4 linked regions of the Saccharomyces cerevisiae S288C genome follow. The protein of the gene in region 1 purifies or fractionates together with the protein of each later gene. This does not show direct contact. Each region holds a gene or a part of one and is shown on either strand. Other genes may lie near its edges.

The links.
Region 2: the proteins of COR1 (region 1) and COX2 purify together in Saccharomyces cerevisiae (affinity purification with western blotting; 8 studies listed by BioGRID, with this or other methods). This does not show direct contact.
Region 3: the proteins of COR1 (region 1) and RCF2 purify together in Saccharomyces cerevisiae (affinity purification with western blotting; 5 studies listed by BioGRID, with this or other methods). This does not show direct contact.
Region 4: the proteins of COR1 (region 1) and RCF1 purify together in Saccharomyces cerevisiae (affinity purification with western blotting; 4 studies listed by BioGRID, with this or other methods). This does not show direct contact.

The regions. Positions count from the first base shown.
Region 1 is NC_001134.8:133,643-137,135, reverse strand, and holds COR1 (ubiquinol--cytochrome-c reductase subunit COR1), read left to right. Parts: upstream 1-1,619; coding exon 1,620-2,993; downstream 2,994-3,493. Other genes in the region: ECM13 (Ecm13p), read right to left, coding at 1-448; YBL044W (uncharacterized protein), read right to left, coding at 770-1,138; PSY4 (Psy4p), read right to left, coding at 3,387-3,493. UniProt on the Saccharomyces cerevisiae protein: Component of the ubiquinol-cytochrome c oxidoreductase, a multisubunit transmembrane complex that is part of the mitochondrial electron transport chain which drives oxidative phosphorylation.
Region 2 is NC_001224.1:72,248-75,013, forward strand, and holds COX2 (cytochrome c oxidase subunit 2), read left to right. Parts: upstream 1-1,510; coding exon 1,511-2,266; downstream 2,267-2,766. Other genes in the region: Q0255 (maturase-like protein), read left to right, coding at 2,248-2,766. UniProt on the Saccharomyces cerevisiae protein: Component of the cytochrome c oxidase, the last enzyme in the mitochondrial electron transport chain which drives oxidative phosphorylation.
Region 3 is NC_001146.8:662,271-665,445, forward strand, and holds RCF2 (Rcf2p), read left to right. Parts: upstream 1-1,999; coding exon 2,000-2,674; downstream 2,675-3,175. Other genes in the region: protein transporter TIM23, read left to right, coding at 643-1,311; ARE2 (sterol acyltransferase), read left to right, coding at 3,069-3,175. UniProt on the Saccharomyces cerevisiae protein: Assembly factor that plays a role in the assembly of the respiratory chain supercomplexes (SCs) composed of ubiquinol-cytochrome c oxidoreductase (cytochrome b-c1 complex, complex III, CIII) and cytochrome c oxidase (complex IV, CIV).
Region 4 is NC_001145.3:214,561-217,414, reverse strand, and holds RCF1 (respiratory supercomplex assembly factor RCF1), read right to left. Parts: upstream 981-2,854; coding exon 501-980; downstream 1-500. Other genes in the region: USA1 (Usa1p), read right to left, coding at 1-53; NDC1 (Ndc1p), read right to left, coding at 1,259-2,854. UniProt on the Saccharomyces cerevisiae protein: Assembly factor that plays a role in the assembly of the respiratory chain supercomplexes (SCs) composed of ubiquinol-cytochrome c oxidoreductase (cytochrome b-c1 complex, complex III, CIII) and cytochrome c oxidase (complex IV, CIV).

The sequences.
Region 1 (3,493 bases):
TGTTATAATCACCGCCAGAGTAATCGTACTCAAAATCATAGTCTTCATAATCATCATCGTCTTCACTGTCAGTAGAAGATAGAGTGTCAGCATCTGGATCTTCGTCACTAGAGTAAAAATCACAGTAATCTTCACTTTCTATCGTCTTTTCTGCATTTTCCTCCTTACCGACGTCATTTTTACTAGCATTAGCATTGGACAATTCGATATGTTCGATGGACAAGTTTTCAGGTCCTTTACTGAAAGGGTCTCCGGCAAGGGCGTTGGTTGCAGCATTATGAGTTTCCACATTTTCTGTAATCTTATCCAGCAAGTTTGCGTGCCCGACTAAAACTCTCAGGTTGTAGTCTTTGTTTTTAGTAGTCACGCTAACGCATTTTGCCAGCTTGGAGCGTACTTTGCTGGCCAAAATATATTGATCTTGAATCGATGGGGTTGTAGAGTTCATTATAATCGCAGTATGCGGAATTTTCTATGTGAGAAAAACAATAAATAATTGTGAAAAAACTTGGATGTATAGTGTAATACTATAAAAAATTTCTGCTGGTATGTAGCTGTCTTTTTATTTTTTCTTTGGTCATACAGGGCTGTAAGCAGAGAAAGTCGAACAAAGACGTAACACCAGAGAAAGAAACTTGAATGCTTTTGTTAGATATATATATATATATTTATACATATGCCTCTCGCTAGAGGATATATCGCCGCGGAGCGCAGCGAACTACATCCGAAAACATCACAAATAATGCATGGGCAACCGGATACATTGCATTTAGTTTTGCCTTTTTTTCCAATTGTCACAGCTTCCTCGAAGTTTCTGACCCGGTAAAACGTGCGAAATGCCTCTTCTAATGCCGAAACAAGGGAAACCCTTAAAGCTTCCGTGCAAGCTGACCATGCCGGTCCGCACTTCGGGTCTTGTCCGTCGCCCGTGATCCAATAGGATACAACTACAAATCTGGGGTAAAGTCCGACTTTCGGCCCGCCGTGCGTTACTGCATGTTACATCACTATGGTGGGGACGGAAAATCACAGATGAGTCAGCTTCGTGATTTCCTGTTTCGGTGATGCTTGCAGTATACTTCAAATACTTCGCTTTACTTGGCAACCTTTTTTTTTGCCTCTCTAGCATTTCACCCATACCCACCAGGGGGAAAAAGAAAAGAGAGATTTTAAAACCAGATATTCTTTTTCACGATTTACATAACCCGGACTGGGTAGGGTAACATGTATATGAACTTTAACTGTGACCCGGACAGCACGCTTTCTGCACCAATGAAATGCCAATAAATTAACAGTGTTTTTTGTCCTCCAGAAGTTCAAGGGCCCGCGCTGTCAGCTGCACCAAATAAAAACCAAACAAGAAAATTAAAGGCCTACAGCGCTCCCTAACCGATATTCCCCTACTCTCTTTCCCCGTCTTATTCGAGGAAAACAGCGTATAATAAAGCAATAGCTTTCACAGAAAAAATATTATATCATCCCTGTTCGTATAGGTAACGAATCCTAATATTAAATTGCTACCATTGCTGATCAAGACAATTGTGGAGTAATAATACGAGAAGAACATCATCGTCACCATATCACTGAGAAAGAAAACACAAGATATATAAACAAAAAAAATGCTAAGAACAGTAACTTCAAAGACTGTATCTAACCAGTTCAAGAGGTCTTTGGCTACAGCTGTAGCAACCCCCAAGGCCGAAGTAACGCAATTATCTAACGGTATAGTTGTAGCCACTGAGCATAATCCTTCCGCTCACACAGCCTCTGTCGGTGTTGTCTTCGGCTCCGGTGCTGCCAACGAAAACCCTTATAACAACGGGGTTTCCAATTTATGGAAGAACATCTTTCTATCCAAAGAAAACTCTGCTGTTGCCGCCAAGGAAGGTTTGGCATTGTCTTCCAATATCTCCAGAGACTTCCAATCTTACATTGTATCTTCTTTGCCAGGTTCTACCGATAAATCACTAGACTTCTTGAATCAGTCTTTCATCCAACAAAAGGCTAATTTGCTATCTTCTTCTAACTTCGAGGCCACGAAGAAATCTGTCTTGAAGCAAGTTCAAGATTTTGAAGAAAACGACCATCCCAACAGAGTTTTGGAACATTTACACTCCACCGCCTTCCAAAACACTCCATTATCTTTGCCTACTAGAGGTACTTTGGAGTCCTTGGAGAATTTAGTTGTTGCTGATCTGGAATCTTTTGCCAATAACCATTTCTTGAATTCAAATGCTGTTGTTGTTGGTACCGGTAATATCAAACATGAGGATTTAGTAAATTCCATCGAATCCAAAAACCTAAGTTTGCAAACCGGTACCAAGCCCGTACTCAAGAAAAAGGCCGCTTTCTTGGGTTCCGAAGTTAGATTGAGAGACGACACCTTGCCAAAGGCGTGGATTTCGCTGGCTGTGGAAGGTGAACCTGTCAATTCACCAAATTATTTTGTTGCTAAATTAGCCGCCCAAATTTTCGGCTCATACAACGCCTTCGAACCCGCTTCTAGATTACAAGGTATCAAATTGTTAGACAACATACAGGAGTACCAATTATGCGACAATTTCAATCATTTCTCTCTTTCTTACAAAGATTCCGGTTTATGGGGGTTCTCTACGGCCACGAGAAACGTTACCATGATTGACGACCTCATCCATTTCACTTTGAAACAATGGAACAGATTGACCATTTCTGTCACTGATACTGAAGTTGAACGTGCCAAATCGCTGTTGAAATTACAATTAGGGCAGTTATACGAATCTGGTAATCCCGTCAATGACGCTAACTTGTTAGGCGCAGAAGTCCTAATCAAGGGCTCCAAACTGTCTCTGGGTGAGGCTTTCAAGAAAATTGATGCAATCACAGTCAAAGATGTTAAGGCTTGGGCCGGTAAGAGATTATGGGACCAAGATATTGCTATTGCTGGTACAGGCCAAATTGAAGGGTTATTAGATTACATGAGAATCAGAAGTGACATGTCCATGATGAGATGGTAAGATGTGTGATAATATATTTTCCATGCACATAAAATAGAAATAAGCAAGCTGCTAGATGTATACAGGCACGCTCGCACACTCACACCATAAATGAATTTTTTACATGTATTTTATATTCTAGTAACCCAAGTAGTCTTCATTATTTATTGGCAAGGTCACTGTTCCTTGCAAAAGTAGAAAATAAAAAAAGAAAAAAAAAGAAACTCGTAAGAAAACAAGATTAAATAAACGTCTTATTTTATATAAGTGTATATATATATATATATATATATGTGACCAAGATCCTGAAGAACTATCGATTTTAAAAATAAGAAAGATGAACTTTTTTTTGGTAAAACATATTTAATGATATTATGCAAATGGGAAGTTGTTGGTAGAGAAGTCATCTCTCGATCATCTGGACTTCTTGCCTAATGGACTGCTAATATTCTCACGGTAGGTAATACCAGCAATCGCAACCATCTTATCCTCTTGTGAAGAGCTCATCGATGGACTCACTA
Region 2 (2,766 bases), on another chromosome or scaffold:
AAGAATAAATTTATAATTAGATAATATTTATATTTATTTATTTATTTAATTAACAAATATATTAATATTTTTAATTAATTAATAATACCTTTATATATATATATATATATATATTAATTTTAATTATATAATTATCTTTTTTATTAATAATTATAAATATATTATATATTTTATATAATAAGATTATAATTTTATAATTATTTTATTTTTTATTAAAAATTATTATTATTATAATTATTATATTATAATTATAAATTATTAAAGAATATATTTATTAATATTTTAATAATTAATATCTTTTATTTATATTTATAAAATAAGGTATAAATATTGATAATAAAGAGTAAATATTGTATTAATTATAATAATAATTATAATTAAGGAGCTTGTATAGTTTAATTGGTTAAAACATTTGTCTCATAAATAAATAATGTAAGGTTCAATTCCTTCTACAAGTAATAATGATTATAATATTTATATATATTAAAATAATATTAATAAATAATTACTCCTCCTAGCAGGATTCACATCTCCTTCGGCCGGACTCCTTCGGGGTCCGCCCCGCGGGGGCGGGCCGGACTATTTTATTATTATTAAATAGATGTTCATTAAATAATTATAAATATAATTTATCTTTTAAATATATATATATAATATAATATTTAAATATATATTATAAATAAATAAATAAATAATTAATTAATAAAAACATATAATGTATATTTATCTATAAAAAATATTAATTAAATTAATATATTATTACAGTTCCGGGGGCCGGCCACGGGAGCCGGAACCCCGAAGGAGATAAATAAATAAATAAATATAAATAATTCTTCTTCTTTAAAATTAAATAAAATAAAATAAAAAGGGGGGCGGACTCCTTCGGGGTCCCGCCCCCCTCCGCGGGGCGGACTATTTTATTTTTAAATATATATTATATTAATAATATAAATATAAGTCCCCGCCCCGGCGGGGACCCCGAAGGAGTATAAATAAAAATTAATAATATATTATATATATATTATATTAATAATAATAATAATAATAATAATAATAAATAATAACTCCTTGCTTCATACCTTTATAAATAAGGTAATCACTAATATATTATAATAATAAAAATTATATATATTATATATAATCTAAATATTATATATTTTAATAAATATTAATATATATGATATGAATATTATTAGTTTTTGGGAAGCGGGAATCCCGTAAGGAGTGAGGGACCCCTCCCTAACGGGAGGAGGACCGAAGGAGTTTTAGTATTTTTTTTTTTTTAATAAAATATATATTTATATGATTAATAATATTATATATATTATTTATAAAAATAATATATAATTTTAATTATTTTTAATAAAAAAAGGTGGGGTTGATAATATAATATAATATTTTTTATTTTAATTTATAATATATAATAATAAATTATAAATAAATTTTAATTAAAAGTAGTATTAACATATTATAAATAGACAAAAGAGTCTAAAGGTTAAGATTTATTAAAATGTTAGATTTATTAAGATTACAATTAACAACATTCATTATGAATGATGTACCAACACCTTATGCATGTTATTTTCAGGATTCAGCAACACCAAATCAAGAAGGTATTTTAGAATTACATGATAATATTATGTTTTATTTATTAGTTATTTTAGGTTTAGTATCTTGAATGTTATATACAATTGTTATAACATATTCAAAAAATCCTATTGCATATAAATATATTAAACATGGACAAACTATTGAAGTTATTTGAACAATTTTTCCAGCTGTAATTTTATTAATTATTGCTTTTCCTTCATTTATTTTATTATATTTATGTGATGAAGTTATTTCACCAGCTATAACTATTAAAGCTATTGGATATCAATGATATTGAAAATATGAATATTCAGATTTTATTAATGATAGTGGTGAAACTGTTGAATTTGAATCATATGTTATTCCTGATGAATTATTAGAAGAAGGTCAATTAAGATTATTAGATACTGATACTTCTATAGTTGTACCTGTAGATACACATATTAGATTCGTTGTAACAGCTGCTGATGTTATTCATGATTTTGCTATTCCAAGTTTAGGTATTAAAGTTGATGCTACTCCTGGTAGATTAAATCAAGTTTCTGCTTTAATTCAAAGAGAAGGTGTCTTCTATGGAGCATGTTCTGAGTTGTGTGGGACAGGTCATGCAAATATGCCAATTAAGATCGAAGCAGTATCATTACCTAAATTTTTGGAATGATTAAATGAACAATAATTAATATTTACTTATTATTAATATTTTTAATTATTAAAAATAATAATAATAATAATAATTATAATAATATTCTTAAATATAATAAAGATATAGATTTATATTCTATTCAATCACCTTATATTAAAAATATAAATATTATTAAAAGAGGTTATCATACTTCTTTAAATAATAAATTAATTATTGTTCAAAAAGATAATAAAAATAATAATAAGAATAATTTAGAAATAGATAATTTTTATAAATGATTAGTAGGATTTACAGATGGAGATGGTAGTTTTTATATTAAATTAAATGATAAAAAATATTTAAGATTTTTTTATGGTTTTAGAATACATATTGATGATAAAGCATGTTTAGAAAAGATTAGAAATATATTAAATATACCTTCTAATTTTGAAGAACTACTTAAAACAATTATATTAGTAAATTCACAAAAGAAATGGTTATATTCTAATATTGTAACTATTTTTGATAAGTATCCTTGTTTAACAATTAAATAT
Region 3 (3,175 bases), on another chromosome or scaffold:
TTCTTGTTCTTCTTGACGGATGATACTAGTCGCAGTCGTGGTGACTCTGGAGGGCGTAACGGCCGTGATGCGGCCTGAGCTCACTGTGACGTCGATGCATGCGCGGGTTCGTTGCGTTCAGGCCTGACGGGCGATTCCCCACCAAGTATAAGTGTCATGATATACGCGGCACCTGAGCAGCACATTAGGTCCCAATTCAACCCAACATATATAATGGTTCTGTATGGGTATTTTAAGTGTGCAAACAAAATGTGAGTTACCCGGCTGTTTGCTAGTCGCTGCGTACGAACTGGCTTGCTAAAGCTGGGTAAAAATAATTTAATCGCAAAAGGAAGAAAAGGAAATCGACGATTCATTGAAAAAAAGAGAAAATACTGAAAAAAAAAAGACACCGACAAAAAAAAGAGAGAAAGGAACCTTTACGTAGAGCAAAAGGGAAACATTTGTTGCGTTTAATTAATAGAAATAATAGGTTATTGCATTCGCCCTCCATTGCAGAAAAAAAAAAAAAAAAGACCATTTTCCTCTTCTACTCTCTTTGCCTGTACATACTACACGTTATAGCGTTAACAAAAGCAGATAGAAAAAAAAAAAATAACCAAGATAATATAGGTATACTTGTTTAACAGATCACACACAATCATGTCGTGGCTTTTTGGAGATAAGACACCTACCGATGATGCGAATGCTGCCGTGGGCGGCCAAGATACAACCAAGCCTAAGGAACTATCGTTGAAGCAGAGTTTAGGTTTCGAGCCAAACATCAATAACATAATATCAGGTCCTGGTGGAATGCATGTCGACACCGCTAGGCTGCATCCTTTGGCTGGTCTAGACAAGGGTGTGGAGTATTTAGATCTGGAAGAAGAACAACTATCCTCGTTAGAAGGCTCACAGGGTCTGATCCCTTCCCGTGGGTGGACCGATGACCTATGTTACGGTACCGGTGCCGTCTACCTGCTGGGACTTGGTATCGGAGGGTTTTCTGGTATGATGCAGGGTCTGCAGAATATTCCGCCCAATAGTCCCGGAAAATTGCAATTGAACACCGTCCTGAATCACATTACTAAGAGAGGTCCCTTCTTAGGTAATAATGCGGGGATTCTCGCGTTGAGCTACAATATCATCAATTCTACAATAGATGCACTAAGAGGCAAACATGACACCGCGGGCTCCATTGGCGCTGGGGCCCTCACGGGCGCTTTGTTCAAGTCTTCAAAAGGTTTGAAACCCATGGGTTATTCCTCGGCAATGGTGGCCGCTGCGTGCGCCGTCTGGTGTAGTGTCAAGAAAAGACTACTTGAAAAATGAGCAACACAAGAACCTACTCTCTCTCTCTCTTTCTCTCTCTCTCTCCCTCTTCGCTTTTCCCCCATGCACTGATGGCGCTTGTATATAGCATTTGAAAAATAATAGTACGTAACGCAGAAAACAAACCAATGAAAGTAGAAACCCGGAGAAAAGATCTAAAAAAACAAAAAAAAAAGATGGAAAGAGCGCATGTATGTGTAGATATGTACATATATACAACTACTTGTATGTTATTTGCCTTTTGTACTGTTAAGCTATTGTTTTCGATGGCCAATTAAAGTAAAACAAACCGCTCACTCTCGGGTATTTCCCGAAACTGTCAGAGCCGTCCCGGCCCACCGATTCGCCCGGCAAGACCTGCTTGGAAGCAGCACAAAGCCCTGCGGCCTCTGTACACCTCACGCTAAATAGCTGCTAACGATCAACACCTGACCGAGATAACAGCAGCAAAGAACCCGCAAAAAACTGCGCCGTCTAGGCCTCAACCCTTGCTTCCTACAACCAAACAATGGTAAAATATACAAAAAAAAGAAAAGAATGCTCTTTCTTATTTCCCTTTTAACCTAACCATCTTTTGTTTTTTGTCGTTTAACCTGGAAAGAATGTTCTATTATATAAACACTCTTTACTACGTCTTTAGCTTGAAAAAACTCTTGACAAGTGCACCGATACTCACCAACATCGCACAATGAAGATTTTAACCCAAGACGAAATTGAAGCTCATCGCTCACATACGCTAAAAGGTGGTATTGAAGGTGCCCTTGCCGGATTTGCAATCTCTGCTATAATTTTCAAAGTCCTACCAAGAAGGTACCCAAAATTCAAGCCTTCGACTCTAACATGGTCCATAAAAACCGCCCTTTGGATCACCCCTCCCACGGTCTTGACTGCTATATGTGCGGAGGAGGCCTCGAACAATTTCGACGCTACAATGTACGGATCCGGTTCCTCCTCGGAAGACGCACTAGATGAGCACAGAAGATGGAAGAGTTTGAGTACAAAGGACAAGTTTGTCGAAGGTCTATCTAATAACAAGTATAAGATCATCACCGGTGCCTGGGCCGCTTCGCTGTATGGGTCGTGGGTAATCGTGAACAAAGACCCCATCATGACCAAAGCTCAGAAGATCGTGCAGGCAAGAATGTACGCTCAATTCATTACCGTCGGGCTGCTGCTGGCCTCCGTTGGTTTGAGCATGTACGAGAATAAGTTACATCCTAACAAACAAAAGGTCAACGAAATGCGCCGCTGGGAAAACGCACTGAGGGTCGCCGAAGAGGAAGAGAGACTCGAGAAAGAGGGAAGAAGGACCGGCTACGTTTCTAACGAAGAAAGAATAAACTCCAAGATCTTCAAGTCGTAAACCTCGTCGGTTTATCTGCCTCAACTTTATTTCCGCTCCTCGTCTTTTATAAAATTCCTTTCATCAATACATCTATATATTCGAATATATAGATAAACCAATACAAAAACATACTGAAATTTTTTGAAAACAACTAAAACTATTCATTGCAGTTACACGTGAATGCTAAACTTTATATCGCTCTTGTCGGTCCCGCGGAGTTAACATTTAACGGCTTCTCGCGCAATAACCGGAAAAATTCCAACAGTTTCTTTGTAATATTATTAAGCCTTCTTTTTTCCCGGAATCTATAAGAGGGGACGAAAATTAGCCGCTATTAATTCTGGTATTGCCACCTAGACAAGAAGTAAACAGACACATTACGTTAGCAAAAGCAACAATAACAAACACAACCATGGACAAGAAGAAGGATCTACTGGAGAACGAACAATTTCTCCGCATCCAAAAGCTCAACGCTGCCGATGCGGGCAAAAGACAATCTATAACAGTGGACGACGAGGG
Region 4 (2,854 bases), on another chromosome or scaffold:
TCGCTTGACCATATAGTAAATTTGCAGGGCGTCTGAGCTAGATATTCAGACATGTTGCGTATTTGGTGAAGGGTGTATATGACACTTTATATAGCCGCTTAAGATGGTACAATAAAGTGTTTATCTGAAGTACGTCACCTTGCAATTGAATATTTGGTGGATTCTCTCTGTTTCAATTTTTCTGAAAATTGTACCGATCGTTAGCTGGCAATTACCGTTACGTATGTGTCAAGCAAAAAAAAACCCACATATTAAAAATCAAGTAAATAGAGCGATTGATATAGCATTTACCTATCGATATAAATATGTTTTAAGTGATAGTTATACAAGATAAAAACAAAGAATATTCATATGTACGCTGTTATTTTGTAATTATTTTTCTTGAATACTGGACATAGCATCATGAATTTTTTTATTACATTTCTTCATTACAGTCGAAATTAGCTGTTCATTCTTTTGTCTCTCATCATAATTTATTTACAGCAAATCGAAGAGCCAAATTACTTCTTTCCAAGCTTATTTTCCAGGTCGCTTAGTTCCTTTTCTAAGTTCTTGATTTCCTCTTCGTTCTCAAGGGTCTTCATTCTTGCCAATTCGGCTCTTTTTCTCCTTGCCTCCGTTTCTTCCTCCCTTCTCTCCAGCTCTTGGATCCATAACTTTTCTCTCATCTTGGCTTTCTCCTTCAATTGTTCCTCCTTCGCCTTCAGTTCCTTACCAGAAGTCCCATAGATAAATGAACCTGCGACTAGTGCGACTAGTGTGGCCGCTTGTAGACCCACACGCCAACGGAAGTAGTACTGAGCTTTCCATTTATTACCAAGACGAACATTTTGAGCAGCCAGAATGACAGCTCCTGTAGTCAGCAAGCACCCAATGGGTACCAATGGCTGTTTCTTACAATGGTATATAATCCTTTCGCCAAAGGTCATATCATCCAAATCCCTCTCCGTAACATCGAAACTAGATGGCATGCGTGACATCTTGAACGTATAACTGTGATGTTATCGCTTCTAGTACCAGGAATTGAATTAATTCCGATAGGAAGCATTGCTTCCTCTTCTCTATACTTTTCTTTACTATTATTCTTGAAGCATAAAAGGGCCCTCCTTGATTCGCTACCCGGAAACGATAAAGGTAGCTTTTTGCTCTTTTTGCTCATATTAGGCCTCTACTAAAGCATTTGTGCGGTATTCCAATTTTTATTATTGTATTTATCTTACATGAAATGGGAGGAGGGGTGCTCCTCGGTTGAATTGTATTACGTAGCATTAGGGTTGCCTGAGGCGTACACTTCTAGAAACCAGTTCGCCAACTTGGCCACGTCTGCATCCAAATATACGTCGTTCAGAGCAACATTGTATTCAAGTACAATCTCCATAAAAGCACTGGTGGACAGCTGATAAAGAACACTGATCATGTCAGTAGTGTCTTTCATGCTATCTTCGTCTTCACTGTCTTGTTGTACTCTATCTTGGGCTGTCCTTTGTGTTTGGAAGGCAGTGTATGCCATCGATTCCGGATCCCAATCGGCAAATTCACCCAGTGCACAGATGGACCTCTCCAAAGTCTTAAGAATATCCCCAACGGATGCAATGATACCGCCTTTTGGATCTTCTGTCTTTGATCGGATCAGCAGTCCTGTCAGTGCTACCACACTATTTGCGTGGCATATGGGCAATGGAACCAGCTTCTCAGCTTGCCTTTTCTTGGAAATGGACCATATGTCAATTATCGAGATTTGGGCTTTGTTGGAGCCATTTGGTAATAGTCTGTAATTGTCGCTTTCATCAGATGATTGTCTTTCTGCGTAGGAAGGGAAAATAAACGACATTATAGAATTTTTCAGTTTTTTTAACATCAGACGCATAGCGGTCATAAATGTTGTTTCGTGGGTGAAAATAGAGCCGTTAAAAGTTTGTGTCGTTTCATCTAAATCGTTGTCGTAATACGAGGACCTATGCCTTTTCTTGTTTCCGCGGTTAAGCAATACACTATCGTCAGTTCTTACCCTCAGCCTGTTTGGTGATTCATCTAATAAGCCGTTATCCCGTAATGGCGCCATCATAGAGGGTCGGTTCCCAAAGAGTCTTTCGTTGGCGCTTGTTAGTTTCCCGTTCTCATACATATAATCTAGATTTTCTACTTTTTTTTTATGTCTAGCAGTTGCAGAGCCCCCAAGATCTTGTACTGATCTTAGGTACTGCACAACCTTTTCATTGTTTATCTGAATGGTCTTCAAGCATTCATTGAGGATTAATGACCAAGTATTACCACTACTGCTTCTGAACTTGGAGTGATATATTGGTGCTCGCAATGATGGATCCAGTGAAGTGGCCCTATACGCTAGTTCCTGGTAGGCAGTCAACCTAGTAAATGGCTTGTCTGCAGAAAGCCCACTAAGCAGGGTTTCCATCGGCGTCGACGACAAATTCGAAATTAGCTTGCCCTTGTGCAGACAACCTATGGACATATGTGCGTCAAATGCTATATTTATGAATTCGAAAGTGATGAAGATAATGCAGGAGATTATTAGTAAATTTGTGACAGCTAGCACGCCATTCGTAAATGAATCAAATAATCCCGATTTTTGCCTGGAAAAAAATACTGTGGTAAAGATTGGTAATACGAACATGCTGATTACACTTAGAATGACTGACTTCTCCATAATCCTCTTGACACGCTCTAATACGTAGTCTTGTGGGGCCTGGAAAAAGTTTTCGCAGTTGAACGACAATTTGTCAGCGTCAGTGACATGATGTTGTAGGTTGTAAATCGTGGGAACGACTAGCCAAATAAACAGCTTATAGTATGGCTTCCATCCAGATCCGCCACGTCCGAAAACCACACCCAGTAC